Macaca mulatta: one gene and its partners. The main gene of each other region encodes a partner of the protein of the gene in region 3 in a complex. Links are inferred from orthologs where the notes say so. Each region holds a gene or a part of one and is shown on either strand. Other genes may lie near its edges. The genes, in order: MED21, MED20, MED12, MED13, MED31, MED8 and CDK8.

Region 1 (4,726 bases), on a different chromosome or scaffold from region 3:
AGTCTATGGCTTCAAGAGCTTCATAAACCCCTTTTCAAATGTAGGCTAAGTTGAGAGTCTGGTCTGGGGAAAGGGTCCACAGCTTTTATCTGATTCTTAAAAAGATCCGTGGCCAAAAGAGGCTGAAGAACCAGAAAAACCAAGGGGTCAGGGCCCTTGGCTGAAACAGAGGATTATTTCACTCAGAAAATTATCAAGAGGTGAGGCTGGGTCTGTTTGCTGGAGCCAGATTATAGTAAATCTTGACAACTAGGCAGAGATAGTTGGACATCAACCTGAGGTCTCTGTGGAGGCACGGAAGACCTACTAGGAAGATAGTGGCAGGACAAAAACTGTGTCACAATATGAGTTGTCTTGAAGTGACTTCTCTACTTCAAGTGCCCAAGTTCCCTTCAATCACGCTGCAAAACTTAGTATCCTTACGGAGTGGACTAAACTGTATTCAATCAGTCACCAATCCGTATTAATTATTTTTCTCAAAAATATATTTTAGTCTTTTTTTCCTCTCTTATCAGGGTCAACCAACACCCTATTCTAGGCCCAGCTCACCTTAATCTTGGACAACTGCAAAACCTTCCTCTTGGTGAGTCCTTGGCTTATTCATCTTTGCACACTGAGCACTGGATATACTTCCTGGCATGTGGCAGGCATTCAGTAAGGTACACGCTCAAGTGAAGGTGGGAGGAAAAGGTTGTAGATTCCCCCAAGTTACAGTTAGAACAAATTATGGAGTGATTTCTCATTAGTTCCATTATGGGGAGCATGCCTCATCCACGTTCTTAATGAGGCCCCAGTAAGTCTGTAGACTGTTTGGGGATGAGGGTGGGGCATGGGTGTGAAGCAGAAGTGGTGCTTCCCAGCAAGGGTTGGGATAAATCCAGCAAGCTGAGTTCCCCGGGGACTGTGTCCACCACCTACCCCGCAGCCGCAGGAAGGTAATCACGGATAATCAACCTGAGAAAGAGGATATGAGAGTTTGTTTGATGTCTCCAAACCTGTTATTTGCCGACTCCAAACTCATTTCTTACCAGACTATCCTCAGGCTAAATTTCCTTAAATACCAAGTTTCTATTATCACTCTTCACACTTAATCTCTCAATAAGTCCCAACTCTAAATCTAAATTGTGCAGCTGATTTTTCTTGGCCGGGCGCGGTGGCTCATGCCTGTAATCACAGCACTTTGGGAGGCCAAGGAGGGCGGATCACGAGGTCAGGAGACGGAGACCATCCTGGCTAACATGGTGAAACCCCGTCTCTACTACAAAAAAAAAAAAAAAAAAAAAAAAAAAAAAAATTTAGCCGGGCGTGGTGGCGGCGCCTAAAGTCCCAGCTACTCGGGAGGCTGAGGCAGGACAATGGCGTGAACCCGGGAGACGGAGCTGGCAGTGAGCCAAGATCGCGCCACTGCACTCCAGCCTAGGCGACAGAGCCAGACTCCGTCTCAAAATAAATAAATATATCTACTCTTCAATGTAGTCAATAAGTAAACACATGAGAGGATAGGAGAAATCACTAAAAAAAAAAAAATCCCCGCTGAATCCAACAATCTCTGAAGCCTTTAACACCTAACAACCTCAAAGAGAGTATTTCAGCCCCTCAAAGCGATGGACCCCAGGCCGCTCCCCAGTTACTCAAAAGATCCAGCCTCTCCTCTGGTGTAGCCCGCTCTAAGGCCGCCTCGGCAGTACCACCCACTCCTGACGGGGCGGGGAGTTCTCTCCGACCCCACCCCTTCCAAGAAGGCAGCGCTGGGATTGGCCATGACGCGTACCAGAGCTGCCCAGTCGCGGAAGAGCAGCTGTTTTGGCGTCTGTTTGCTGCAGGAAGAACATGGCGGATCGGCTCACGCAGCTTCAAGACGCTGTGAATTCGGTGAGGAATTTCATTCGATTAGCCTCTGTCTTTCTCTTTCCTGAGGTAAAGCAAGGGAGAAAAGGGGCCCAAGAGGCAAAACTTGGAAGTGGAAAGCGGACTGAGAAACAGGGCTTCGGCATAAAGCGCTCTCTCGGGAGGCGCCACCGCGAACTCGGAGGTGTGAGGCCGGCTGCCGGGCGGTGCTTGAAGGTGCGGGAGGGAGCAGCCTCTTTCGCTTGAGGAGACCGGGAAGATTGCTCTTGTCCGGGTGGGGCCGCCAAGACTTGTCGGCTGCGCGGTCCTGTCGTATTCCCTGAGGACAGTTTTATTTTCTTGGCAGCGGTGCTTACGGGATCTCTTTTGGGGGTTGGGAGGAGAAGCAGGAGCTCTTTTCTTTCCTCATCAATTTGAATCCACCAAGGGAGATCTCGTGCTGTGGATGACTGGGTTTTTGTAATGAAATGCCAGCCGAGAGTATTCCTTCACCAGCGCTTTCAGGTTGGTGCGGAGCGACGCTGAGGTGAGAGATTTTCTTTCATCTTCGCTCCTTCCTGTGGGCCCAGAGCCTCCTTCCATCTCTTGTCTCTTGGCCACCCCTCAGAATGCATCAGTTTGGGGACATCTTTATGATAGGAAATCTTCTGATTCTCGTATGTCTTTCCGTTTATTTGAGTCTTTCTTTTTTCTTTTCTTTCCTTTTTTTTTTTTTTTTTTTTTACTTTGGAGACTGTGTCTGTCGCCCAGGCTGGAGTACAGTGGTGCCATCTCGGCTCACTGCACCCTCCGCCTCCGCCAAACAAGTAGCTGGGATTACAGGCGCCCTCCACCACGCCCGGCTGATTTTTCTATTTTTAGTAGAGACGGGGTTTCACCATGTTGCCCAGGCTGGTCTCGAACTCCCGGCCTCAAGCGATTCTCCCGCCTCGGCCTGCCAGAGTGCTGGGATTACAGGTGTGAGCCACCGTGCCCGGCTTACAAGTCTTTTTTAACGTCTCCCCCAAATTCTACGCTCTATTAAAGGCCAAGTCTTGTAGGTAGCTCCCCAGCTTTGTTCCTTCTGGTAATTTTTCCTCCAAGCTATGCCTGAGTGGAAAGCAGAAGCAAAGCCAGAGGATGCGCATACAGTCATGGGCCCTTAATGAAGGGGTTATGTTCTGAGAAATGCATGGTTTCGGCGATAACTTTTTTTTTTAATAAGTAGAAGTACAATGTATAATAACGAGGAAACAGTAAATACATAAACCAGTAACAAAGTCATTTAGTATCATTATCAAGTATCATGGACTGTACTTAATTGTATGTGCTAGACTTTCATACACTGGCAGTGCCGTAGGTTGCTTTACAGCAGCGTCACCACAAGCACAGACCGCTATGATGTCACTAGGCAGTAAGAATTTTTCAGCGTTGTTATAACCATAGGGGACCGACATAATATATGCATCCCGTTGACCAAGACGTCAGTGGGTATTCTCTTGCTGCAATGGGTATACTTATTACCATTACCAGTTACATAGTTTTCTGTTAAATAGTTTTCCATTGATAGTTATGTTTCTCATTGTCTGATTGTGATTTAACGTCCTAGATGAGGGGCTAGAGAGAAAACATGCTGAGAGGAAAACCTAAGTACCTGGTTTCTTTGCCAGTTTTTTTTCCTCACTGTAAGCTAATAACTTGGCATTTTTCTTAATACATCAGGCTTTGTACACTTGAAGAGTGTGAATCTACTTGTGATAAACTGATCTACCCTGGGTGAATAACACTAGTTTTTAAGGCTGAGAGGACCAGCTTCTAAATGTTGAATTCACCAAGATAAATTCTGCCCTGCAGGGACTTGCCTGAGCTGCCAGTCAGCCTTCCTCAGGGAACTACTCCTTTGAGATTTTACAAAATCAAATTGTAATGATGCTGCTGGATAGAAATCTTATTTTAGGGAAACTTTTGCATATTCATACATGTCTTGTAACTAGAAGGATAGTAAGGACAGAGTGAATATGGCCTTAACTCCAGGTTAGGCATGCTGATAATTGGATTTTGGAGAAAAGCCTTTAGGATAACTAGTATGAGTGCCTACTGTGTATAAGCACTATCATGTTTGCAAAGAGATACTCCTTAAGGAGGTTAAAAAAATGTCATATACTCAGGAGACATTTAAGTGATGGAAAAACAGTATGTGGTTAGGGAGTTATAATGAATTGAGTATTTTCAGCTTTAGGTTCTGAAGTAAATTGGAATATGGAGTGATGTGAACCAAAATAGAGGGAATCTTCTTAGCATTTATCCTAATCAGATTTGTATAACTTTTAACATTTGTTCTACCCTCTGAAAACCATGAGTGCAGAAGCTATGTCGCATTCACTATGTCTCTATAGTGTTTAAATGTAGTACTTGTCATAGTTATTTTCCATAAAGTTTTGTTGACTAAATGGATCTTAAAAGTTTTTTTTTTTTTTTTTTTGAGACGGAGTCTCTCTGTGTCGCCCAGGCTGGAGTGCAGTGGCCGGATCTCAGCTCACTGCAAGCTCCGCCTCCCGAGTTTACGCCACTCGCCTGCCTCAGCCATTCTCCTGCCTCAGCCTCCCCAGTAGCTGGGACTACAGACGCCCGCCACCTCGCCCGGCTAGTTTTTTGTATTTTTTAGTAGAGACGGGATTTCACCGTGTTAGCCAGGATGGTTTCGATCTCCTGACCTCGTGATCCGCCCATCTGGGCCTCCCAAAGTGCTGGGATTACAGGCTTGAGCCACCGCGCCTGGCCTAAAAGTTTTTGAAGGATGGAACAGATAGACACTGTGTTGAATATTTTGTGTATTTCCTCTTCCTCACAACAATGCTGTAATAGGAGAATGTATCCAATTTAAAAATGAAAAATGCTA
Region 2 (4,122 bases), on a different chromosome or scaffold from region 3:
AGTCTTGAACTTCTGACCTCAAGTGATCCTCCCACCTCGGCCTTCCAAAGTGCTGGGATTACAGGTGTGAGCCACAGTGCCCGGCAGTTTCCTTATTTGTAACAAGTTGATAAATAACATCTTCATAGGACTATTGTGAGGATTTGGAGTGTTAATTCATCTAAAGGCCTTAGGACGCAGACTGGCACGTTGTTGGTTGGCAATTGTTACCTACCACTCTAAAGGGGAAGCCACCATATGAGGTTCACTCACCATAGGAGGAAACCTTGGAAATGTTTTTTTTGTTTTGTTTTGTTCCATTGTTTTGATTCAATTTTTGTGAATACTGTTGCCTCTCATTCCCGAAGATTATAAACTTGAAGGCTGCTTTTTTTCTGTTCCTAGGGCTGTTGACTAGAACTTTCTGTGATGATGGAAATGTTCTCTAACAGCAGTGTCCAATACACTAGCCCCAGCCACCTGTGGCTCTGGGCTACTGTGCTGAACAGCTCCACAGAGTTGGTAAAAACGTGTAAACCCAAACTGAGACTTTGTCCTTGATGTAGTCAGAACTGAAAGAGTTGCAAAAGGAATCCCTTTTTCATTATATAACTCAGCATTATTGAATGCTCAGCCTGTGTGCCATTTAGAATCTTCGGCATGCCACACTTGAGAATGTCCCATGATAGGAAGTTCATTGCTCTGGTGTGAGAATCCTGAGAACTATGCTTCAGTTCTTAGAGGGGCTCTCAGGGACAGTGGTCCTCTATTCCTTGTCTTTAAAATGGGGGACTAGTCCAAGTGTAATGAGTTATCTTAATTGATTGTTCACATTCGGTTACAGATTGGACTCCTTGTTCTACTCTTCCCCATTCTAACTACTGCACTTGACTGGTCTTAACTTTTTTTTTTTTTTAAGATCGAGTCTCGCCCTGTTGCCCACACTGGAATACAATGGTGCAATCTCGGCTTACTGCGAGCTCTGCCTCCCAGGTTCAAATGATTCTCCTGCCTCAGCCTCACAAGTAGCTGGGATTACAGGCGCCCGCTACCACGCCCAGCTAAATAATTTTTGTATTTTTAATAGAGACAGGGTTTCACCATGTTGGCCATTCTTGTCTTGAACTCCTGACCTCGTGATCCGCCCACTTTGACCTCCCAAAGTGCTGGGATTGCAGGCATGAGCCACCATGCCTGGCCAAAAAAAATTTTTTTTTAAATTTATAATAAAGTTGCAGGGGTTGGGAGACGGTCAGAGTAGGTAATTTCCAAGATAACTTTTGGCCCTGACGAGCTGTGATGCTGTGGGCGAGTGAGTGGCTCAGTGAGCACATGTGTGTCTCTGGATAACTGACAATTTGGTGCTCTCCTTTCCAGTGTGTCCCAGATGCCTGTGGCTGAGGGCAAGAGTGTTCAGCAAACCGTAGAGCTCCTTACCCGGAAATTGGAGATGCTTGGGGCAGAGAAGCAAGGAACATTTTGTGTGGACTGTGAGACTTACCATACGGCTGCATCTACCCTTGGCAGCCAAGGTCAGTGACATGGGTCTGTAGGATGGCTGGAACGAGGGTTGGAGTTAATAGACATTTGTATTAATTGAAGTATTTCTGCTTTTCTGCTAAGGGTGGTGTTCTTTTTTTTTTTGAGACGGAGTCTCGCTCTGTCGCCCAGCCCAGGCTGGAGTGCAGTGGCGCGATCTCGGCTCACTGCAAGCTCCGCCTCCCGGGTTCACGCCATTCTCCTGCCTCAGCCTCCCAAGTAGCTGGGACTACAGGCGCCCACAACCGCGCCCGGCTAATTTTTTGTAATTTTTAGTAGAGACGGGGTTTCACCGTGGTCTCGATCTCCTGACCTTGTGATCCGCCCGCCTCGGCCTCCCAAAGTGCTGGGATTACAGGCGTGAGCCACCGCGCCCGGCTAGGGTGGTGTTCTTAAACATGTGGCGAGATGTGTTTCTGAATTCATTAATTATTGGTTCTTTATTTCTTAGAATAGGGCCTTTGAAAGCTTTATTTTATTTTATTTTATTTTATTTTATTTTATTTTATTTTATTTATTTTGTTGAGACAGGGTCTTACTCTGTCGCCCAGGCTGGAGTGCAGTGGCATGATCACAGCTCACTGACTGCAGCCTCGACCCCCTGGGCTCAAGTGATCCTTCCACCTTGGCCTCCTGACTTGGCCTCCTGAGTAGCTGACACGACAGGCATGAGCCACCACACCTGGCTAATATTTTAAATTTTTTGTAGAGACAGGGTCTCCCTATGTTGACCAGGCTGGTTTTGAATTCCTGGCCTGAAGGGACTATCCGGCCTCAGCTTCCCAAAGTATTGGGATTATAGGTATGAGCCGCCACTCCTGGCTAAAGCTTTATTGAGGTATAGTTGATATACAAGCAGTTGCACACATCTAATGCATACATCTTAATGAGTTTGGATATATGCATACACCTATGATATCATCACCACAACCAAGGTACTAAACATATCTGTTACATCCCAAAATTTCTTTGTGTGTGTGTGTGTGTTTTTTTTTTTTAAGAGATAGAGTCTTGCTTTGTTGTCCAGGCTGGAGTGCTTTGGTGTCTCATAGCTCACTGCAGCCTCAAACTCCTGGGGTCAGGTGATCCTCCCACCTTAGCCTCCTGAGTAGCTGAAACTACTGGCATGTGCCACCATGCCTGGCTGATTTTTTCACGTTTGGGTGGGGTCATGGGAGTGTCTTACTATGCTGCCCAAGTTCGTCTCAAACTCCCAGTCACAAGACATCCTTCCACCTTAGCTTCTCAAGTAGCTGGTATCAAACTCCTGAGCTCAGGGGATCCACCAGCAAGGGCCTCCCGAAGTGCTGAGATGACAGGCATGAGCCACCATGTCTGGCCCTTGTGTTCCTTGAGTGCTTTTTGTTTTGTGCAGTTTGAACTCTAAAAGCAATGTTTCTCAGAGGGTTAATCACTGACTAACCACATCAGAATCACCTGGGATACTTGTTAGAGTTGCAGATTCCTGGCCTTGTTTACTGATTGACTGCTGCTGTAGGCCACGTAATCTACATTTAATAATCCAGACAATCCTTATGCACTCTGAAATTTGAGAAAGACTTGTTTTAGGCCCAGAAGTCTTTGTTTATGATTCTTTTAGAGCTTTAGGGCTTCTAGAAGTTTCTTTTTATAGAGTTCCTGTTTTCCTACACCTAACCATTGGCATTGACCTCCTCATTAGCATAAATCAATTGTTCTTTTTAGTGGATTGAGTGATGAGATGGGGTGTGGATGATGGGGGATGGTGGTTGGGAGGGAGAGAGGATTTTTTTTTTTTTTCTTTTTAGAGTGAGGGTCTCACTTTGTTGCCCAACTGTACAGTGGCATGATCACAGCTCACTGCAAGCTCTTAACTCCTGGGCTCAGGCAATGAGAGACTCTTTGGATATGAGTTAGGGAACTTGTTTCTCTTAGTCTTGGCTCTGCAGTAACTTGACCTTGAACAGTTCCATAACACTGTGGTTATCACTGGGGAGCCAGAGCCCTGAGTCCTGGCTTTGCCACATTCTAACTGTGTACCTGTAGGTAACTCCAACAACCTATCTGTTACTATTTCCACGCCTCTCATGTACCTGTTTCCCTTAGATCCATTTCCTGCACTTCCCCTGTAAGCTGTATTTTCCAGGCCCTCTCCTAGTTAGCTTTGGTTATTGAGAGGCACCAGAGAAGATTAGAGGATGGGAGAAAGGAAGCCCACAGTGTTCCTCTCCCTCTGCTTTGGGCAGTGTCTCTAGCCGTGGCTGTGTCTTCACTTCCTTGGTTCTAGCTTCTGCTAGGCAGCCCTCATTCCTGCCTCTGATAACAGCACATATTTTCTTTTCCCTTTAGCCTTAAGAATGGTAGTAGCTTCCTGTGTTGCTAATCTTTGGGTTGTCCCACCATCCTGTTTGGTTTTTCCTTTCTTCCAACCCGTGTATTTGTTCCCCGTATACATTTCTTCTACCAAAACTATCTGACATGGGCTCTGTTTTTGGACTCTTCCCCAATACACTTCTGTCATCTATAAAATGAAGATAATCATAGTATTTCTCTCCTCATGTTGTGCTAAATAAGTTAATACATGCAAAGCATGTAGAACTGAGATTGTCATGTAATTTTTTTTTT
Region 3 (4,034 bases):
TCCTGTTTCTCTCTCCCTCTCTGACTCTGTCTTTCTCTGCCTGCCTAAAGGCAGAATCTCTCCCTGCCTTCCTCTCTCTCTTTCTCTGCCTTCCTTTTTCTGTCTGCCTCTGAATGTCAATCCCTCTCCCTCCCCACTTCCTCTCTGGCTTTCTCCCCAACCCCTTTCTCTCCCGGTCTCGGCTTCTCTCCCCACACGCCCGCCGCCCGCCCCGTTCATTCGTCTCCTCTCCTGGTCCTGGCTGGCTTCATCTTGCGTCTCCATACCTCTCCCTGTCCCCCACCCTTCACTCTCTCCCCGCATAACTCTTCTGCATGTATGTGTGTATCCGTGTCTGTCTGTTTCTTACCATCTCTCTTGAATCTACCTATGACTTTCTACCCACTCCTACAAGTGCTTGCGGTCTCTCTTGTGTTTTCTAAGTCCCAACAGCTTATTGTTTTTCATTTTCTGGAGCAGGGTCTACAGGTTTCCACCAAACAGAAGATCTCGCCCTGGGATCTTTTTGAGGGGTTGAAGCCGTCAGCACCGCTGTCTTGGGGCTGGTTTGGAACAGTGCGGGTGGACCGGCGAGTGGCTCGAGGAGAGGAGCAGCAGCGGTTGCTGCTCTACCACACACACCTGAGGCCCCGGCCCCGCGCCTATTACCTGGAGCCGCTGCCACTGCCCCCAGAAGATGAGGAGCCCCCTGCTCCTACCCTGCTAGAGCCTGAGAAAAAGGCTCCAGAGCCCCCCAAAACTGACAAACCGGGGGCTGCTCCACCCAGTACTGAGGAACGCAAGAAGAAGTCCACCAAGGGCAAGAAACGCAGCCAGCCAGCTGCCAAGACAGAGGTGAGCGTCTCCCCCGTGACAGTTCTCCCACAGCCTCTTACTTCATGACGCTCCAGTTTCTGGTTTGTGGGAGGGGTGGGGGCGCATAAGGAAGGGGTGCCATTAGAATCATAATAAAAATTAACCATGTACAAATCCAGCTCCTCTTTACCTCATTCTCCCCCAGCTCCCCGACCCCACTCAGCTACAACCCACTCACCCTCTTCTTCTGTCACTCACACAGGACTATGGAATGGGCCCGGGTCGGAGCGGCCCTTATGGTGTGACAGTGCCTCCAGACCTCCTGCACCACCCAAACCCTGGTTCCATAACCCACCTTAATTACAGGCAAGGCTCCATAGGCCTGTACACCCAGAACCAGCCACTACCTGCAGGTGAGTGCCAGCCACTAGGAATGCTGGAGGGACCTAGGTGTATACTCCCCCTGCCCAAAGGGTGATGCCGTTCCCCTGAGGAGCTATGGATGTCAAGGACACTGAGCAAGAGACAGAGGGATGAGGAACCTAGAGGTCAGCCCACTCTCCTTTCCAGGTGGCCCTCGTGTGGACCCGTACCGCCCTGTGCGCTTACCAATGCAGAAGCTGCCCACCCGACCGACTTACCCTGGAGTGCTGCCCACAACCATGACTGGCGTCATGGGCCTAGAACCCTCCTCTTATAAGACCTCTGTGTACCGGCAGCAGCAACCTGCGGTGCCCCAAGGACAGCGCCTTCGCCAACAGCTCCAGGCAAAGATAGTGAGAGGGGCAGTAGGGAGGGCTGTCAGGGAGAGGGGCTTTTGAGGGTCACAGGACTGAGGAGACACGGGATCTTCACAAGGACACTCAGAGCAGGAGACACAAGAGATGAGATGGCAGCAAGCATTTCCTGAGTTTGAGTTGTTCTCTTCTCTCCCTTTAGCAGAGTCAGGGCATGTTGGGACAGTCATCTGTCCATCAGATGACTCCCAGCTCTTCCTACGGTTTGCAGACTTCCCAGGTAAGAGCCTGGGATTGTGAGACTCGGGGGATGAGGCAAGCTGCTTTGCATACTCTCAGCCCTGATTCCCTCTCTCCTCCTTCCCTCCAGGGCTATACTCCTTATGTTTCTCATGTGGGATTGCAGCAACACACAGGCCCTGCAGGTACCATGGTGCCCCCCAGCTACTCCAGCCAGCCTTACCAGAGCACCCACCCTTCTACCAATCCTACTCTTGTAGATCCTACCCGCCACCTGCAACAGCGGCCCAGTGGCTATGTGCACCAGCAGGCCCCCACCTATGGACATGGACTGACCTCCACTCAAAGGTACCCAAAGTAGTGGTGAGCTAGGAAGAGATGCAGAGGTATAAGGGAGCATTTGACTTGGGAAAGCCCGTGCCTGAAGGTGATGGGACTGGTCAGAACTTTTGGAGACGTCAAGAATACTTATCTGGCCACATAGCCCATAACCACAGAAGTCTCGAGCTGGAAGGGACCCTGGAGACCAATAGTTTCATGTGTACTTCCTTAACAGTTCTTTGAGGCCCAGAGAGGGGAAATTGTTTATCTGACTCATGGAAAAATCTGGGCTGTGTGGTAGCTCACACTGGTAGTCCCAGCACTTGGGGGCCCAAGGTGGGAGAATCAGTTGAGTCCAGGAATTCGAGGCCAGCCTGGGCAACATAGGGAGATCCCATCTCTAAAAAAAAAAAAAAAACATATTTTTTTGAAACAGAGTCTCACTCCAGTTGCCCAGGCTGGAGTGTCGTGGCATGATCATGGCTCACTGCAGCCTCGACCTCCCAGGCTCAGGTGACCCTCCTACCTCGGCCTCCCAAGTAGCTGGAACTACAGGTACACACCACCACGCCCAGCTAATTTTTTGGATTTTTAGTTGAGATGGGGTTTCGCCATGTTGCCCAGGCTGGTCTTGAACTGAGCCACCACACCTGGCCAAAAAAAATTTTTTTTTAATTAGCTGGGCATGGTGGTGCATGCCTGTAGTCCCAGCTACTCAGGAGGCTGAGGTGGGAGGATTGTTTGAGCCTGGGAGTTTGAGGCTGCAGTGAGCTGTAATCGCACAATGAGCCAAGATTGATTGCGCCATTGCACTGCAGTGGTGACAGAGTGAGACACTGTCTCAAAAAAAAAAAAAAGAAAAAGAAAAAAAAAATATCTGGAGTTCATAGATGAACTACATGATAAGGAGTCCTAAAGCCAGTACCGGCTTTAAATACCAGGTTGAATACCAGGATGGATTAATGAATGAATCCTCCCACCATGGTTAATGTTAGTCAAGCCTTAGTTCAGGCCTTGTAACCATGTTTAGAGACTCCAAAGCTTGGGATTAAGAACACTGGGGAGTGGACTAACTGCCCATTGTGTGGCCAGCACTATACCAGGACTGGGTGAGGTGAAGAAAGATAGCAAAAAACCCCAAAATGCATAGTTCCTCACTACAAAGAATCTTTACTATAGCTGGGGAGATGAGACTTACAGAAGAACATTGAGAGAACACTCTGAGCAAAGATATAATCAGGTATGCAGTTGTATGCTATGAGGTAAAATGCGGATTGAGAAAAAGTATGGGGTAGTATCTGTGGGCCTGACTCATCAGAGAATGTTTCATGAAGGAGGTCAGACTTGAGTTGGCCTTTGAAGAATAGCTGTGATTAGGATTTGTGGAGAAGAGGAAAGGGCATTCCAGGTAGAGGATGTAACATGAACAAAGACATGGGGACAAGAATGAGGATGGTGTCTGGGGAGAAGGGCCTGGATGGAGTGTAAAATCTGTGCTGGGGAAGTCACTGGGGCTAGGCTAGGAGGGGGCAGGCTGAGAGATGGCCTTGAATGCTCAGCTGAAGAATTGAGACACAGTCCCAGTAAGGACTCTTTTGATCAGAAGAGTGATAGGAGGAGTTGGGTATGTTGCAAGACTCCTTGGAATGAATGGATAGCATGTGTACTGGGAGGTGCAAGAAGAAGACTTCAGGCTGGGCGTGGTGGCTCATGCCTGTAATCCCAGGACTTTGGGAGGCCCAGGTGGGCAGATGACCTAAGGTCAGGAGTTTGAGATCAGCCTGGTCAACGTGGTGAAATCCCGTCTCTACTAAAAATACAAAAATTATCTGGGTGTGGTGGCATGCGCCTGTAATTCCAGCTACTCGGGAGGCTGAGGCAGGAGAATTGCTTGAACCTGAGAGGTGGAGGTTGCAGTGAGCCGAGATTGCATCATTGCAC
Region 4 (4,752 bases), on a different chromosome or scaffold from region 3:
CATTCCGTGGCTGAAGAAGTGACATGGAAGACTCTACCATTCAGTTTACAGATACAATTATGTATCTATAACACATAATACATAATTATGTATCTGTAATAGTTACATAAAATTACAGTAAGTCCTAACTCACCGATATTTCTAACTTCTGAATCATCTTTTCTTCTTCTGTCTTGCAATCCTAAAACCGTCAGAGAAACTGTTTTGAACTCTTATATTGAAGTGTAACCCATCCAAGCACTGGGTGTTTTATGGGAAAGAGAATGAACCTTTTGTTTGGTTCTTACTTCTTACCACCCACTCATTTGTAAATATACAAATATGAAGCACCTACTGTGTGCTAGGTATCTTTTTTTAGGCACTAGAGAGACAGAAGTAAACAACAACAAAAACGTAGTGAGACCTTTACATACACTAGTTCTCCTGCTTCTCACAATAACTGTATGAGGTAACGATGACAACAATAATAGTTAACTCTTAACAGTGCTTATCTGTGCAGGGCCCTGGGCTACCTGCTTAATTTGCATTAACTCATTACAATAAGCTTGTGGGGTAAGGGGCATGTTTTCCCCGTTTTACAGACGAGGAAACAAGACACAGGGCAGAAAGTGATTTGCTCAAGCTTGGAACCCAGGGAGTGTGGCTCTAATTCCCAGTCTATTAACTACAGGGCAATATTTTGTTTCTTAAGTTTCTATCTTCATATCACAACTTTTAGGTGGTGGAGTCTCGTCCCCATCCAGATCGTCTGACTCCCAAATCCAGAGGTTTGCGCCTGCACCCCAGCGGCCTCGCGAAATAAATGAGAATGTCTTGGAATTTTTGTCAATACTTTCTCTTCCAAAGAACTCAAACTGATTTCCACGTAATTCCCATTGATTTGTGAAATGAACCTTCCTGGACTGTAAATTTCCCCGCAAAGACAGGGCCAGGGCCACGGGTCATTTTACACTGGCCAGGGCACCCAGCAGGTGGCGCTATGTTAGTGGCTACCAGCTGGCTGCCCAGTCCCCGGGGCTCACCGCCTCGGCCGAAAGCTTCCCGGCCCTCCCTCGCTCACTTCTCTCTCCCCCTCCCCACGGAGCCCGGGCCCACGTGACCTCAAGGCGGCCAATGGGTGAGCAGAGAGGGCGAGCTGGTCCCTGTGGCCGCCATTAAAGCGAAGGGAAAACCCGTGAATTCGGATTAAAGGGGGAAAAACACCGCCCGCTGGGCCCACAAAATGGGGGAGACTACGGCGTCCAGCCGGTGAGGCCGCAGGAGGGCAGACGTTAGGCCGGCTCGGCCCAGGGACGACACGAAGACAGAGCCAGAGAATGGTCTGAGCCCGCAGACGCCGCCACCACCTCCGCCGCTGAGGAGACTCTGGGCTTAAGGACATCGCCGCTGCCGGGCCGGGGGCCTGGGCTTCTCTCCCGGTTCTCGCCCTTCCCGCCCCTGTGTGGGCGCCTCCCCGCCCGGGAGAACCTTCCAGGGCTTGGGCTCTGCCGTCTCGGACTCGTTTTTGATTATTTATTGTGTAATTTATTATTTTTCTTGTGGTAGGGGCACACATCCCCTCCGTCTCCCAGAGAAGGACGAGCGTCTGCGGGCTCCGCAGTCCGGCCCGCCAGGCGAGCGCGGCGCGGCCCTCCCGCCTCCGGCCCTCGGCCCCGGGCGGCTGGGTGCCGGCCGGGCGGCGGGGGCTGCTCGCGGCGGCGGCAGCGGCGGCGGCGGGGGGGTGGGTGGGGAGGGCGGGCGGCCCGGCGGCCTCCTCTTCCACCGCCCCCCCAACCACTACCCCCCCCACGCCCTCCCCGGTGTCTGTGTTTCTCTCTCTGGTCGGAGGCGGCGGTAATGGCGGATGGTGGGTTGTGGCGCCGGCGGCGGCTGCTGTGAGGGACGATGAGTGCCTCCTTCGTGCCGAACGGGGCCAGCCTGGAAGATTGTCACTGTAACCTCTTCTGCCTGGTGAGTGCCGGGGCCGGCGGGCGCCGAGGGAGGGGGGCCGTGAGGTGCGCCCTTGGGCCGTGGGGGAGGGGGCCGGGTCTGGTCCAGATGCCCGAGTCCCCGGGCGAGGCCCAGCCGGAGCCGGCGCCCTGCGAAGCTCCGCGGCCAACCCCGGGAGACTGCGTTCGCTCTCCCACGGTCCCGGGCCCTGTTTGGGGAGTGTTGGCATTTTTTCTCGTCTTCTTTCGGACTCTCCTCTTCACCGTAGTCTCGTCCTCAACTTGAGCTCCTTATCTGGCAGGACAGTAACCTTTCTCTCTCTCTTAACTGTTGCTTTTCTGCTTATTGGCCTTGTATCCCAGCTTCACACTTTCCATTATTGCCCCTGCTCCCCACCGCCTTTATGTCTCATCCTTTTAATTTGGTTTCCCCATGTAAACAGGACCCCAGAACTTATGCCCCAGAAACCTGTCTTCGTTTTACATTTTTTTTGTATGAGTCAAACTAACGCAAGGTTAGTTTCTTCCTTGGGTGACTTAAGATCTCTCTGTAAAAACCAGTAGGTGCCATTTCATATGTTTTCTTTTTAAACTTTGAAAACAGTTTGCCATTTTTGACAATTTCTAGCCATCTTGCTTTTATTAGAACATAATTTTTTTTGTGCGAGTGAAGGGGGCTAATGGACGAGGTGCTGTGGTTTTGCACTGTTTCTATATTTATTGTGTTTTGCTTGCTTTTTCAGAATGTTTTGAGCAGGCTGCTCCCTTGTTTGATTGAAATGAAAAGTCCAGAGAAGCTGGGTGTAGGGATGACCATTGTGTAGGTTAGCCCAGGTCTGGTAACATCCAACAGTTGAGACTTTCAAAAGTACCAACTGTTGCAAATAACTTGGCCTGTGTGGGACAGTAGCTGAGCTTCATCAATGACTTTAAGTTTGGGTGACTTTATTTTTTCATTTTCTCCTTTGTGCTATGAGAAATATTAAGAGTATATGATAGGTAATAAGTGAGTTAAGTGGGCGGAGCACAACTAGTTGGCAAGTGTAAACTGCCAGTCATGTATCAGCAGTTTCATTTTTGGCACCTTATGCTTTGCACCTTTAAGTTAGATTAAATTATTGAATTCCTCTTGAATTTCTTTCTGGATGCTAAATTGAGATCTTTCATACTCTATCCTCTTCTACAGTATGTTTTTCTTTTCAATGTCCATTAATCAGCATCTCTTCACGTATAATACGACATACACCAGGTTTTGTATTCTATCTTATCCAACTCAGTCTATTTTTGATACTTTTAGGATCAGGCTCTTTGAAGATAGACTAGCACAAATCTGACAGTTCTTTGTGAGCAGCTATTTGACTTTTCCGACAGGGGTATGTGTGAAGAATTAACATAGATTTTTTTCAGGACTTGTTCAGATGTCTTTTCATTAGAGACATTACTTCTGTAAATGTGGAATAAAAACTCGTGATAGGGTCTTTAATAATTGATTTTCAGTTAAACGTTTGACACCAATGAATAAATGTGACCATTTAGGACAGAGAAAAATGTACTCTGTTTGTATATTGAAGTGTGTGTGTCTGTCTATATTTAACTTCATTCAGTTTCTTTTATTTCTACTTGGAGTACATATTTGCTTGCTATTCAGTGACATGGTGGTATTTATTTTTAACTGTGTTCTTCTCCCTAAAATTGTTGGTTGTTGAATTATAAAGTCATTTTTTTTTTGGTTCTAATTTGCATTCAATAGCTCAAGCATATATTGAAAAATTGTAATGTCTTAACGAAATAGGAGACATCGTATGGAGTACTTTTGTGAATATGAGTGAATATGCAATAATAAAACATCATGCTTTCTTTTCTTCAGGCTGACTTGACGGGAATTAAATGGAAAAAATATGTATGGCAAGGCCCAACTTCTGCCCCTATTCTGTTTCCTGTGACAGAAGAAGACCCCATTTTGAGCAGTTTTAGTCGCTGCCTTAAGGCAGATGTACTTGGTGTTTGGCGGCGAGATCAAAGACCTGGAAGAAGAGAATTGTGGATATTTTGGTGGGGTGAAGACCCCAATTTTGCTGACCTTATTCACCATGACTTATCAGGTGAAAGAAACTTTCCATTTCTAATTAATGATACAGCAACATTGTATACTTCTCCCAGAATATCATTTGTATTACAAAGTAAGTTTGTTTTTGTGGGACACTTAGGTAGGAGGCCAGATAAAAATTGAGCTTCATGTTTTATTTCACCATGATTATTTTATTTTACTCAAATTATCCATGTTATAGCTGGGTTTTTTAGGCTTGAATGACTTTCTCCTTTTACCACCTCTCTTCTTAATTTCTCACGGGTAGTTAGGGTCCAAGGAAGGCATGCCACATTAATCTCAAAAAATGGAATCAGGAAACAGAGTTCCTAACAAAGTCATGTAATAGTTTTGAAGCCAGATGTAACTTTTGAGTCACTTCAGCCACTGTCAAAGTTGAGTCTTTTGCATTAAATGGGCAGATGATTCTAAAAGTACTGGAAATGTAACTATCCTTGTGTTTGTGTGTGTGTGTGCGCGCATGTTTTAAGGTATGTAAGTATTTTGTTACTGTCATTTGTGCTGTTTGATTAACATATGAAGGCATATGTTAATTTAGTTATTTTTGGAAAGTGACTCATATACTGTTCTGTCACATACTCAATAAGAGACAAGTGCCAACTTGTTTAGCTTTTATAGGACATGGGATCATAATCTAAAAGGTTACACAAACAATTTTATTATGAGCAAATCAATGTGATTACTTCCTTATTTTCTTGACTTTTAGGACCAAATGCT
Region 5 (3,498 bases), on a different chromosome or scaffold from region 3:
TATGTAGTATGGGCTTTAGTCCAGGCCTGTTGTCCTGCTGGGGTGCTGTATGTAGTACAGGATCCAATCTAGGCTGTTGTCCTGCTGGGGTGCTGTATGTAGTATGGGCTTTAGTCTAGGCCTGTTGTCCTGCTGGGGTGCTGTATGTAGTATGGGCTTTAGTCTAGGCCTGTTGTCCTGCTGGGGTGCTGTATGTAGTACAGGATCCAGTCTAGGCCTGTATGTTGCATTTTGCTGTCACATCTTAGTCTCCTTTCATCTCAGTGGTCTTTTCTTTTCCATGACTGTGACAGAAATGATTTTGTATCCTTCATGTATCTGCAGTCACATGAAGTCTATTTGTCCCACTACTGGTGACATTAATTTTGATAACTTGGTTGAGGGTGGTACCTTCTAGGTTTCTCCATATTAAGTTACTATTTTTCCTTATGTATTTAATAAGTATCTTATGGGGAAATCCTTTGAGACTATGTAAATATCATATTACATGCCCATTTTAGCATCTTTTGAAGATATTTGTTTGAAACATTTTTTACTGTGGTGATTTTCGAATTCTGTCATTCTGCATTTATTAGTTTGGAATTCGATTGTAAGGCAGTACATTCCCTTGTTTTCTATTTATTATTTTATTAAAGAAATTTACATCCATTTAGTATTTTATCCTGTGAATTAGAATTATGTATTTTCTTGCTCTGAGTATTCTAGATTTGGCCATTGGGAGTCCCTTCAAGTTGGTTCCTGAATACTTTTGATCGTCCCAATAATTTTTAGCACTTTTTCTTCTGGCACTACGTAATGTTCCAGGCTCATCTTGTACTTTCCCTCTCTTATCCCTGAATCACCCTTTTCTCCAAGGAAACCTGCTCCTTGGATACCACAATCTGGACATTGTGTGTTCATTAGTACCACAGTGTCATTGCTTCTAGGCCCTCTCAGTACACAAAGCTCAAGAACTCTATGTTTGTATGTGTATCCATGCACACATGTATACATCTGTTTATCCTGTCTACCTATATTAAAAGCCCTAAGTACATACTAATGTTTTCAATACCAGCTCAGTAACACAGGATTCATTCTAGCCTTTTTCCTTTCCTTGTCGAAATTTGGCTGTCCTTATCCACAGTATATTTACTTGTCCAATCCTAGAGTATATCTAATTTCAGAGTTGGTATATCCCTGTGGACAAGAAGAGTATAATGTATGTGCATAGTTCTCTTTCAAACCAACTCACTTTTAAATGAAAGTTGTCTTTTTATCACTATTGATGGAAAAACAAAGAACTATCAATTAAACACAGAATTAGTAAAATATGTTCATGTTCTTCACGTTGGAAACCACTAGAAGGGAATAGCATGGTTTGTCCCTACATTTTCACTCTGCTTACCAGTTACTGTGTTGTGTGGTCCTGAGCAAGTTTAAATTTAATCTTTCTGAACTTAAACCTTCTCACTTTCGAAAATATTGCTGAACACTGACCTTTGATGACCAATCAGGGAAAACACCCTATGCTGCCAGTGTGTACTAAGTTAAAGAAATGGTAGGCTACAAGATCATTTTTAAGAGAATAACTTAATTAGACCTTGGCATTATTTACTTAAATTATGTTGTTCATTTACTTATAAACTTAAACCCAGGTACCCTCAGTGTTTACACATGTTAGAGCTGCTCCAATACGAACACTTCCGAAAGGAGCTGGTGAATGCTCAGTGTGCGAAATTCATTGATGAACAGCAGATTCTACATTGGCAGCACTATTCCCGGAAGCGGATGCGCCTTCAGCAAGCCTTGGCAGAGCAGCAACAGCAAAATAACACATCGGGAAAATGAAAAACCGGATACAGATGAGGCTCTCAATACATGTATATAATGTATTTCTTTTGTACAGTGAAGACAAAAAATGAAAACTCTTCCTATCTACCTTTATTATGGTAGCCCCTAGAACCTTTAGTGTGCTTTTTAATCCAACTTTTTATTGTTAATAGACTATTTCTTTTAAACCTGAATTGGTCTACTTTGATTTCCCTGTGGATTTGTAAGGTGTTTTCTTTTGTATGCATTTAGCATAATCAGCTGATTAAGAATGGAAAAGTTAGGTGCTTTAGACCAAATGAGGCACTGGGGCATGGGGTAGGGGTGGGCCACCAAGTATACTGAATTCTAAGGCTAGCTCTTCCTGACATATAGTAGCGCAAGGCCATCTCCTGGAACCTTACTGTCTCTCAGATCAACTACTCTACCACTCTTATCTATGTAGTGAGAGTAGCGGAGTCAGTGACCTCTTTAAATCACAGGATAGGAACTGCATAAAGGTTCTCAAATTCTGCAGGACAGGAAATCCCTGTATTACCTGCTTTGCAAGGTGGCTTTAAGAATCACTGTGGCCTCATTTGACCTAGTCATGGCAGGACAACTAGTGGTTAATTACTAATTGGACTCTTGACTTTAGAACAAACATGAGGAGCCTCAAATACTTGTGCTCATTTGGGAAAACTAACATTGATTTGGGAGGTACCACATACCAGGTGCTATGTTAAGTGCTTCCTTGAATTCTCATTTTATTCTCAGAACCTTGTTTACAGAAGAGAAAACTGAGGTTTGGATGGGGCGGGTAACTTGCCTGTGGTTACACAGCTAGTAAGTGGTAGAATCAGTGTGACTGACTCCAGCTTGGAGTTCTTCCCACCACTGGGTTACACAGTCTCTCCAGCCCCTCGCCGCCACCTGCCTAATCCCAAGTAAAGCACGTTGAGAGAAGCCACAAAACGAACTGCCTCTAGTGCTCAGGGTCGGTTTTTTCATGAACAAAACAAAACTGCCTGAATTAAGCAGAGGCTGGATTAGAGGTAATATGCTTCCCTCAGTGGTGAGGTTAGGTTCTACGTTCCAAAATCAAAGAAGGGGTTTCAGGACTATCAGTTGCTTTGCAGATGCAGAGAATTTAAAATAAAAGATCCTGATCTTTTGAAAGATTTGGAAGGTGTGCTCTGCGCCTTTAGGAGTTTTTAGGTATTTCCGTCACCTTCAATGATACATTCCTTTGAGCCTTTACTGCTACTTCTGAAGACTTGTTTATATCTTAAAAATATCCATATATTACAGGCAAACTAAAGGTTCATGGGCATTTTAATAGCACCCTACTGTTTAGACACATGCCAGTTTTTTAACCTCATTTATTGCTAACATGTATTCAAAGCAATATACAGTTTATTGATACTAGAACAAATCAGGAAATCAAGACATGATTGCCATCATAAAATCTTAATCTTCAGAGAACAACATTTCCACCAGGTTGGCCTGAAGACACTCAGATTCTACCAGTTTTTGAGGCTGTAAGAGAAGAACAGTCAAATCTTCACTACTCCTATAAAACGTTATTAGGAGTGGAATAGGTTCTGCCTTGAATGACACTAATCTTTGAACACAGAAATTATGCAATTCAGAAACTATCAACTAGTTATAACAAGTTTTATGAAAGAATCAAGATATTTGCTGTAAGAT
Region 6 (4,122 bases), on a different chromosome or scaffold from region 3:
TGTGGTTATCAGAAAACCTAATATTACACACATGGCTTGCTTCAGATTTCTACAGGACGGTGTCGTTCTAGACTATCTGCCTAAAAGGTAGGTTGTATTTCCCCACAACATCCCTCCACGTCCTTTCACTTTCTAATGAAACATCCTCTAAACTGTTTCATAGTTTTTCTTGTATTAATATTTCTGATTGATCTTGACTGATATTTCTGATGCATGGGCTATTTTACCACCTCTGTGAACATGACTATTTTAAAAAAGGCATGGTTTCCCACCACCATATTCAACATTGGGTCTTATCACACCAAATCCCAGTGAACAGGAGATTTACCATTCTGTGGCTACTTTATTATTTATACTATGAACAATATGGTTAAGAACACAAGGACTGGAGCCTGGCCATCTGTTTTGGAGTCCTGATTATAATATTTAACAGCTGTGTAACTTTGTTACTTTTTTTTTTTTTTTTTTTTTTTTGAGACAGAGTTTCACTCTTGTTGCCCAGGCTGTAGTACAATGGCCTGATCTCAGCTCATCGCAACCTCTACCTTCCCGGTTCAAGCGATTCTTCTGCCTCAGCCTCTTGAGTAGCTGGGATTACAGGCCTGCGCCACCATGCCCAGCTAATTTTGTATTTTTGGTATAGACAGGCTGTCTCCATATTGGTCAGGCTGGTCTCGAACTCCTGACCTTAGGTGATCCGCCCCTTGGCCTCCCAAAGTGTTGGGATTACAGGTGTGAGCCACTGCGCCCAGCCTACTTTGTTACTCTTAATATCTCTGTGCCTCAGTTCCTAAACCAAAAAAAAGGAGATAACAGTGTCCACTTCATAGGGCTGACAGAATTGATACTGGTAAAGCGCTTAGAATGGTGCCAAGCATGCAGTATGTATGCAGTAATGAATACTATTTGTATCATTATACACATCTCTCACCCTTTCCACCTACTAATATACTGGCACCTTTCCTAGTGGTGGTGTTTTATCCAAATCTGAGATTTTAAGCTCAGATCTTCTAACTCCAAATTGCTACTTCCTGGATGAGTGGCATTTGAGTAAGGTACTAAATCTTTCTCATTTTTCAGTTTTCTCCTCTGTGAGAACGCCATCTTCCTTGCAGAAGTCTGAATGACACAATGTATATAAGGTTCCTTGCATGTTCCTTAGCATCTAATGAATATCTCATATCCCCTTTCTGGTTTATTACATGTGATCCTTACAACACACTGTAAGACCATTTTATAAAGAAGGAAACAGGATCGGGGAAGACTCGCTTGAGCTTGCACAGATTAGCTACATGACAGCGCCAATATTGGAGCGAGGTCTCAGTCCGACTCAAATGTTTTTTTCATGAAATTAAAGCTGCTTTTCTAAAAGCATGGGCCCTAGAACTAAATGAATTCATGCTGTTTACAGCATTCCAATGCCTAAAGAAATACAAAACCCGGCAAACTAAATCTACTGCCGTGTTGCCCATTGAAACTGCAACAGAAAGTCAAAATACAAATTTTGTTAATACCACTATCATTAGGTCAAAGAGTTGACGACGCGGATGACACGTCAGTAAACAAAACAAAGCAAAAAGAGTTACTCCTTTAGCTCCCCGAGGAAACTGCAGACCGCGTCCCATAGTCCGCAGGGGTACCATAGTCGGGCCTTCCGGGCTGGGCTGGTCCCTGCCGAGGCTACGCAGCCCGGCCACCCCCAGACCCAGAGGAGGCCAACGCCACGCCTGCCCGCCGGACCCTCCCCCTCGGATCTCAGGGCCCAGTGCTGCGTCCGCCCGCCCCTCACCTCCGGCTCGGGGCGCTCCGAGGCCATCACACAAGCCCTCCCGCGCCGGCCCGGGCCTGTGTGTTCCACTCTTGACCCCTGACCTGGCTACCTCGGCACCCGGAAGGAACAGGAAGTGGGTGGGAGGGCCGAGTTCCAGTTTTCTGATTGGTGGACGAAGCCTTCTCAGAGGCGTTTGCTGACAGGAAACCGGAAGTGGAAATCGTTGCAGTCGCCTCGGCCGCCGCAATGCAGGTGAGAGCCGCGTTGGGAGTGCTAGCGGCTGGCCAGCTTCGGCTACAGGGAGCCAGAGTGGGCTGGCTAAGGAGAATGAAGAGTTGGGACTGAGAAGAGAGGGCAGAACCCACGGCTGATAAGGGAACGTGGGTTGGGGGGCGAGGTTAATTGGAGAGGGAGCGGCGCAGATGAGAGGTGGGGGTGGAGCTCGCCTGACAGAAGGCGGTCGGGCTAAATCCGGAGGGAGGAGGCAGCACTGACTTGCTTGGCGTGGGAAAGGATTAGGTTGTAATACGGGGAGGCCGAGATGCAGTCCAAGGAAGACGGCTCAGGAGGTGGTGGGTTGGCTCAGGCCCTGTCCTAAGCTGCTGGATGGAGGCTGTTGGATGCCGATATAGCAGGGGATCTAATTGGAAAGAAGCCCAAGCAGTGAGGGAATTGTGGGCCGCGGTGTCCGAAAGCTAAGCAGCTTGTAATGTGAGGCCATGGTGGAACCCAGGATCAAGTTCCTGTCAGGCACCTTAGCAGGTTTGCAAGACAGTTTTGCATCACTCTTCCCAGCCTGTGCCCTATAGTTGTTAAGGGTGAAGAAATGGAATAAAACAGGATACCACCGATGGGAAGGAAATGCTTTGCAGACCCCCGGCATTTTAATTTGTTTGTTCAGTGCTTAGAAGCATGTGCGGTTTTGGTTTTCATTTGTCACTTAGTTTCCTGCAGCTGGTAGTCTCAAGAAATGTTATTGGGTTGACCGAGCTTGTGAAAGAGGCACGGGAATATTGACACAGAGATAGATGGGTGCATATTAATTCAGCGAGGAGAAGGTTGAAACATGAAATGATGAGAGCAGATGGAAAGCTGGAGTGGTTGGTGGGGGGAGGGAAAGAGGAGAGCAGGGCTGGTATTCAGAGAAGTCTTCATGAGTAGGCAGATTTCCCAGAGACTGACAAGAGAGCCAGGCTCACAAATGCTAGGATGGAGGAAGCTGGAGTGCATGTGCTACAGAGGTGCACATGAGATAATGATCTGGCATTAGGTTTGTCGAAAATGTCTCAATGAGGGAGTGTAGGGTGTACCTAATACAGAGAAAAACCAGGCATAGATTAGGAGCGGATGGGAAAAAGGAATCAGTTGGTGGAAGTACTTGGGTCAGGCAAACGGTTGAAAGGTCTCAGGGTTGATGCTGTCTATAACCCAAATACCACAGATAGGAAACAACCTGGTTATCCTATGCCAATGAGATCCTGTTACCTGACTGGTGTTTGCACACCATCTCCTTGGCTTTTCAGCCCTCCTTTCTATGTGTCATACTCGTTTATCTGGGTAACCAACCTGTTCCTATTGGTGCAGAGAGAGGAGAAGCAGCTTGAGGCATCATTAGATGCACTGCTGAGTCAAGTGGCTGATCTGAAGAACTCACTGGGAAGTTTCATTTGCAAGTTGGAGAACGAGTATGGCCGGCTGACCTGGTAAGGGTTGCCAGGGCAAGCTAGGGAGGGCTTATGGGTGGGGGGGCCTAGCCTTCTGATGAATAGGACACTTCTAATGATGTAACCATTTATCAGTTTACAAACATCTTTTGATTTGGAAAGAGCTGGGTTTCGTAACATTTAGCAAGTGGCTTCCATGGCAAGGAAGTAGAGAAATGCTCGGTTTCCTAACCCAAGTTCATTATAGCTTTCAATTCTTACCCTTTGACTTCTCTGGTGAGGAGGTCCTCCTATTACAGCTCTATTTGTGCTGGATCTCTTGCCACAAATATGGCTGAGTCCTTTAGATCCAACCTACTCTGAAGTGTGGATCCTATTTCCAGGCTGGAAAGAAGGATTTTACCGGGTTTCTGAAGTTTTAGTTATAACAGTATAGTCCTATTTTGCCACTGTTCCTCACCTCATTCAAACAATGAACTGGATTTTTTCTACATCTGTTTCATAAACTGAAACTATGTCCCTCTTTCATAACCCTGTCATCCTTGTTAGTTTCTTCCCACTTAGGCTAGTCATAGGGCTATGAGACTTTTGGGGATAAATCCGAGTGTTCCTAGCCTGAAGGAACTAGGACTATTTTACTAAGAACCACCCAAGGAAGGGGTGGAACATTCTGACACCTGCTTACTG
Region 7 (4,122 bases), on a different chromosome or scaffold from region 3:
AGAGCAGTATAGCTTTAATTATGGCTAAATTACTTACCTTTCATCTTCCTTTACATATTTTATTTTCTTCTTTGGAGTTTTTAATAACCAGATGAATTGTTACTGTGTTTATTGGGTGTGCTGGTAGAATTTTAAACATGCAAAGCTATCCATCATCTTTTTATGATCCTACTTAGCTGCCTATGTGGCTGTTGATTATCGAAGGTTAGATCTATAGGGGGTACCCATATAAAAAGAATAATCACAAAATAATTTCCCCATATACCTTTTGATGCCAAAAACAAAATAGGTTGGCCTATGTTTCTTGATGAGACTTTTCCATATGGTGATATTGGCTAGGCTTGGTTGTCTGATATGTAAATATGATGTCATTTTTTAAAATCACTTGCTGCAGTCAGTGTGAATCTTTAAGTAAATAGATGATTAATTTGTTACTTTGAAATGTAAATGTGTGTAATTTTATATTGAATTAAATATCTCTTCCAGTTTTGGAATTTAGGAATTCTCATTTTAGGTTTTTTTCCTTATTTCCTGTTTAAGTGACAGTTATTAACATATCTGAACAATCAGCTTTAATAAAACAGTAATTTTTATTTGTCCCCTTTGGTTATTTATATTTGTCACAGGTATTGGTTAGGTCAGTCAAAAACTATATGTTGAGGGTCTGCTATATGCACACCACTGTACTTAGTGTAGGATTTGTTAAGAGTAGAAATGAAATATTTTCAGCTTTAAATTCTAAATTGGCAAATAGATCTTACCTCTACTAATAGTTCTTTTGAGTACAAAGTTAATATGAATGAAAGTAAATCTGTATCTTGTGAATGAAAGGAATTCACTTTGTTGTGTACAGAGAAACCCATTTGCCTGGCTTTTGTCAATAATTCATTTGAATTTATAACCCCCCGCTTTTTTTTTGAGACAGAGTCTTGCTTTGTCGCCCAGGCTAGGGTGCAGTGGCGTGATCTCGGCTCACTGCAGCCTCTGCCTCCCGGTTCAAGCAGTTCTCCTGCCTCAGGCTCCCGAATAGCTGGGACTATAGCCACATGCCACCATGCCCGGCTAATTTTTGTATTTTTAGTAGAGATGGGGTTTAACCATGTTGGCCAGGCTGGTCTTGATTTGCTGACCTCGTGATCCATCCGCCTCAGCCTCCCAAAGTGCTGGGATTACAGGCATGAGCCACCACACCCAGCCGAATTTATAATCCACGTTAACAGTAATATTTTGCTTTTGTTTCCTGTCCTACGTATTAAATATTAAATTTGCAAAATCTGACACTGCTTATGGCATCAAGAACCACTTTGAAAGAAAAACTTTGTTAAAGTAGAAATGCTGTTAGTTCTTAGACTTTTTGAGGTTGGGCATTGTCTCTTGGTGGAATACCACCTTACTCATTAGTGCTAACATGAGAGGGTAATTATTAGACTTTGCAAATTAGCAAGTAAATAAAAAATAGTTTATCACAAGAATTTATGCCGATTGTGTTAGGCCAGTGCCCAATTTCAAATACTGTTTGGATTTTCCGTTTGTTTTTGTTTGGTTTGCTTTGGTTGTAGTTCCATGCTCCATATGCAGCTTTACTGTAGTTCACAGAAAAGGTATCATCTGGGACATTGAAAACTTACCAAAATCCAGCCAGTACATTTAATTGGGCTTAGAGTGAAACCATTTGGGTGATGTGGAGGTATACAAAATGAAAAATTGGGGTGGATGGCATGGGAATATATACTTACAATAATGTTTCGTGGTATTTAGTAATTATAATTGCTTAGGAATTAATATGAGTTATTAGGGAAAGAAAGAAAGAAGACACTCCCCAAGAAAATAAAATTGCATTTTCTTTTGGAAAGAACCACTTTATTTTCCACCTTTCTTTTTCTTTTTTCCTTGCCTTTTTTTCTTTTTTTTTTTTTTTCTTTTTGTTTTAAAGATATTTGGGCTATAGGGTGTATATTTGCAGAACTACTAACGTCAGAACCAATATTTCACTGTCGACAAGAGGACATCAAAACTAGTAATCCTTATCACCATGACCAGCTGGACAGAATATTCAATGTAATGGGATTTCCTGCAGGTACACATTATTCGTTTTTGTTTTTGTTTTTAAATCACTGTTGTTTGAATTTAGATGTCTTCATTGGAGAGGTATATATTTTTAGCTGATGGAAGCTACTCTTGACTCGAGTCTTTGCTTTTTGACTTGCATTTATCAAAGATCTGTAGAAACAGCAAAATTTGTAGAGTTTACATATTGTCATGAACATATTTATGGTTTTCCTGAATTTAAGGACTGTATTTTTGTTTCATCTTGTTTTGCTTTTTTGTTTTGTTGTTTGATATGTGAAATGATAAAATATTTGCAATATCTGTATTAGAAAGGTACCTTAGTTCATTTATAGTGGAAACTATAAATGAATTCAGTAGTAGAAATTTTTTTCTAGCAGCACATATAATACTGCCACTATTTTGAGCCTTATTTCTATTTAGGGCACTATACAGAATCACATTATATTGAATAATAGCATTTACGTCTTCTCAGAACAGTCACAATGTGAGTGACTCGTAGTACTCTGTGGTGAGTTGGCCTGCTGTTTTGCAACACAGAGGTGGTTTACATGTATCCCATCCCTGGCATTAGATCTCTCCAACTGTATCTCAATCCCTAGTTATACTACAGAACAGTGATCACCAGAAACTGCTCAGAGGTCCAGAATAATGAGAATTTGTTTAGAACACCTAAATTTTGGCTAGTCAAGTACTTAACTGAAGACTAATAGAGATAATACCTGAGACTTTTAATTCTACATTCCCTTGTAAGGGTGTTAATTATCAGTAAATGCAGAATAACTACACAGATACTGCCTTTCTCCAAAATTGGTCACCGGTTTGAAGAAGACCTCTGTTGTGATAGGAATTTTATTTATTCAGTGAATATTTATTAAGTACCTGCCATGTGCCAGGCACTGTCTTAAGTAAAAAGTTACTGATGATGTAACAGACAGGATTATCGCCCTCTTGGAGTTTACATTGTACTGCTATATGTAGAATGTTTAAAAAATAGGTGTGGTTTGAGTAGAGACAGAAGAATTCTCTTTTCTTCCTGCTTCTGAATGTGTCCACCATTTCTGAGCCCATGAGAAAGGCATAGCTTCTGTGAGGGAATATATGGAGTGAGGACATCTATCAGCAACTCTTAATGTGTGTTTCAGAGGTTAGGGTGGTTTATAAGGAAGCTTGGAAAGCAGGCAGCAGAGGTTAGATTTGATAGCTAAAGAATGAGAATCCATGATAAGTTCTTCAGTACTAGAGACATGATTTATGCTACATTTTAGAAAGATTAGTAAGGTGGTGGTAGGTAAAACTCAGTTAAAAAGAGGTAAGCGAAATCAGAAACCAGCTGTAGCAGTGCTGCAGACATAAAGTGAGAGTGATAATAAGGATGGAGAAAAAAGGGCAGATGGAAATGTTTTATAGGAAGTGTATAAGCAAGGGAAAACTAAAAGATTATCTTAAGATTTCTAGCTTGAGAAGTCGATAAGATAGAGAAATTGGAGCAAGGAAATAGTTAAGGAGAAAATTCCATTTAGGAGTGTAAGTGTATGTTTAGTTTCCAATATGTGATATCTTTGGAAGATAGTTGCCAAATATTTTTACAAGTAAGTTCAAAGAAAAGCAAGCCTCTGAAGGCCATTTAAAAGCTAAAGGTTTTGGGAGGCCGAGGTGGGCGGATCACCTAAGGTTGGGAGTTTGAGACCAGCCTGACCAACATGGAGAAACCCTGTCTCTAGTAAAAATACAAAATTAGCTGGGCATGGTGGCGCATGCCTGTAATCCCAGCTACTCGGGAGGCTGAGGCAGAAGAATCGCTTGAACCCGGGAGGCGGAGGTTGGGGTGAGCCGAGATCGCACCATTGCACTCCAGCCTGGGCTGTTAACAAGAGCAAAACTCCGTCTCCAAAAAAATAAATAAATAAAAATACTCAAGGTGCTATTAAGCTGCCCCTGACAGTCCTGTGCACCTAGTAGACTCTCAGGGAAACCCATTGACAGTGATGGAGAAAACAAATTATGTAGCATGTATTGTTTGAGCAACTCTGATGCCAGCAAAAGTAGCTGAAA

Evidence for each region.
Region 1: MED12 (region 3) and MED21 share a complex: the UniProt entries of both Homo sapiens proteins name them as parts of the mediator complex. The link is inferred for Macaca mulatta from reciprocal best matches to the Homo sapiens genes MED12 and MED21.
Region 2: MED12 (region 3) and MED20 share a complex: the UniProt entries of both Homo sapiens proteins name them as parts of the mediator complex. The link is inferred for Macaca mulatta from reciprocal best matches to the Homo sapiens genes MED12 and MED20.
Region 4: the proteins of MED12 (region 3) and MED13 are in contact, whole or in part, in a cryo-EM structure (PDB 8TQC), measured with the Homo sapiens proteins. The link is inferred for Macaca mulatta from reciprocal best matches to the Homo sapiens genes MED12 and MED13. Residues at the interface, in NP_005111.2 of Homo sapiens: Ala3, Phe4, Arg12, Pro13, Arg16, Leu86, Thr123, Thr127, Thr150, Pro152, Val153, Met154, Arg155, Phe242, Pro278, Leu281, Arg282, Arg356, Pro357, Phe360, Gly361, Cys364, Gln367, Thr368, Cys372, Pro407, Glu408, Phe413, Val417, Lys1526; in NP_005112.2 of Homo sapiens: Ser157, Glu158, Thr336, Val337, Pro339, Gln340, Ser341, Gln343, Lys344, Trp345, Lys347, Phe348, Asp1186, Ile1189, Leu1190, Gln1193, Asp1194, Pro1332, Ile1333, Thr1335, Leu1337, Tyr1340, Asp1341, Tyr1342, Asp1343, Tyr1344, Leu1345, Val1346, Leu1347, Ser1348.
Region 5: MED12 (region 3) and MED31 share a complex: the UniProt entries of both Homo sapiens proteins name them as parts of the mediator complex. The link is inferred for Macaca mulatta from reciprocal best matches to the Homo sapiens genes MED12 and MED31.
Region 6: MED12 (region 3) and MED8 share a complex: the UniProt entries of both Homo sapiens proteins name them as parts of the mediator complex. The link is inferred for Macaca mulatta from reciprocal best matches to the Homo sapiens genes MED12 and MED8.
Region 7: the proteins of MED12 (region 3) and CDK8 are in contact, whole or in part, in a cryo-EM structure (PDB 8TQ2), measured with the Homo sapiens proteins. The link is inferred for Macaca mulatta from reciprocal best matches to the Homo sapiens genes MED12 and CDK8. Residues at the interface, in NP_005111.2 of Homo sapiens: Pro26, Gln27, Gln31, Glu33, Asp34, Leu36, Asn40, Val41, Lys42, Gln43, Gly44, Phe45, Asn47; in NP_001251.1 of Homo sapiens: His143, Ala144, Trp146, Phe180, Asn181, Ser182, Pro183, Pro186, Ala208, Arg209, His210, Thr212, Lys213, Met273, Pro274, Pro320.

Annotation. Positions count from the first base shown.
Region 1 is NC_133416.1:29,388,177-29,392,902, forward strand, and holds the start of MED21 (mediator of RNA polymerase II transcription subunit 21), read left to right. Parts: upstream 1-1,797; 5' UTR 1,798-1,830; coding exon 1,831-1,872; intron 1,873-4,726. UniProt on the Homo sapiens protein: Component of the Mediator complex, a coactivator involved in the regulated transcription of nearly all RNA polymerase II-dependent genes.
Region 2 is NC_133409.1:140,256,752-140,260,873, forward strand, and holds part of MED20 (mediator of RNA polymerase II transcription subunit 20), read left to right. Parts: intron 1-1,356; coding exon 1,357-1,511; intron 1,512-4,122. UniProt on the Homo sapiens protein: Component of the Mediator complex, a coactivator involved in the regulated transcription of nearly all RNA polymerase II-dependent genes.
Region 3 is NC_133426.1:77,600,327-77,604,360, forward strand, and holds part of MED12 (mediator of RNA polymerase II transcription subunit 12), read left to right. Parts: intron 1-459; coding exon 460-834; intron 835-1,057; coding exon 1,058-1,208; intron 1,209-1,365; coding exon 1,366-1,571; intron 1,572-1,734; coding exon 1,735-1,812; intron 1,813-1,902; coding exon 1,903-2,120; intron 2,121-4,034. UniProt on the Homo sapiens protein: Component of the Mediator complex, a coactivator involved in the regulated transcription of nearly all RNA polymerase II-dependent genes.
Region 4 is NC_133421.1:49,804,512-49,809,263, reverse strand, and holds the start of MED13 (mediator of RNA polymerase II transcription subunit 13), read left to right. Parts: upstream 1-1,751; 5' UTR 1,752-1,884; coding exon 1,885-1,950; intron 1,951-3,795; coding exon 3,796-4,030; intron 4,031-4,752. UniProt on the Homo sapiens protein: Component of the Mediator complex, a coactivator involved in the regulated transcription of nearly all RNA polymerase II-dependent genes.
Region 5 is NC_133421.1:8,125,414-8,128,911, reverse strand, and holds the end of MED31 (mediator of RNA polymerase II transcription subunit 31), read left to right. Parts: exon of another isoform or gene 1-1,634; coding exon 1,635-1,827; 3' UTR 1,828-2,538; downstream 2,539-3,498. Other genes in the region: TXNDC17 (thioredoxin domain-containing protein 17), read right to left, coding at 3,259-3,327. UniProt on the Homo sapiens protein: Component of the Mediator complex, a coactivator involved in the regulated transcription of nearly all RNA polymerase II-dependent genes.
Region 6 is NC_133406.1:197,279,108-197,283,229, forward strand, and holds part of MED8 (mediator of RNA polymerase II transcription subunit 8), read left to right. Parts: intron 1-1,789; coding exon of another isoform or gene 1,790-1,816; exon of another isoform or gene 1,817-1,886; intron 1,887-1,993; exon of another isoform or gene 1,994-2,002; 5' UTR 2,003-2,017; coding exon 2,018-2,023; exon of another isoform or gene 2,024-2,533; intron 2,534-3,355; coding exon 3,356-3,474; intron 3,475-4,122. Other genes in the region: KICSTOR complex protein SZT2, read right to left, coding at 1,790-1,816. UniProt on the Homo sapiens protein: Component of the Mediator complex, a coactivator involved in the regulated transcription of nearly all RNA polymerase II-dependent genes.
Region 7 is NC_133422.1:6,509,113-6,513,234, forward strand, and holds part of CDK8 (cyclin-dependent kinase 8), read left to right. Parts: intron 1-1,933; coding exon 1,934-2,077; intron 2,078-4,122.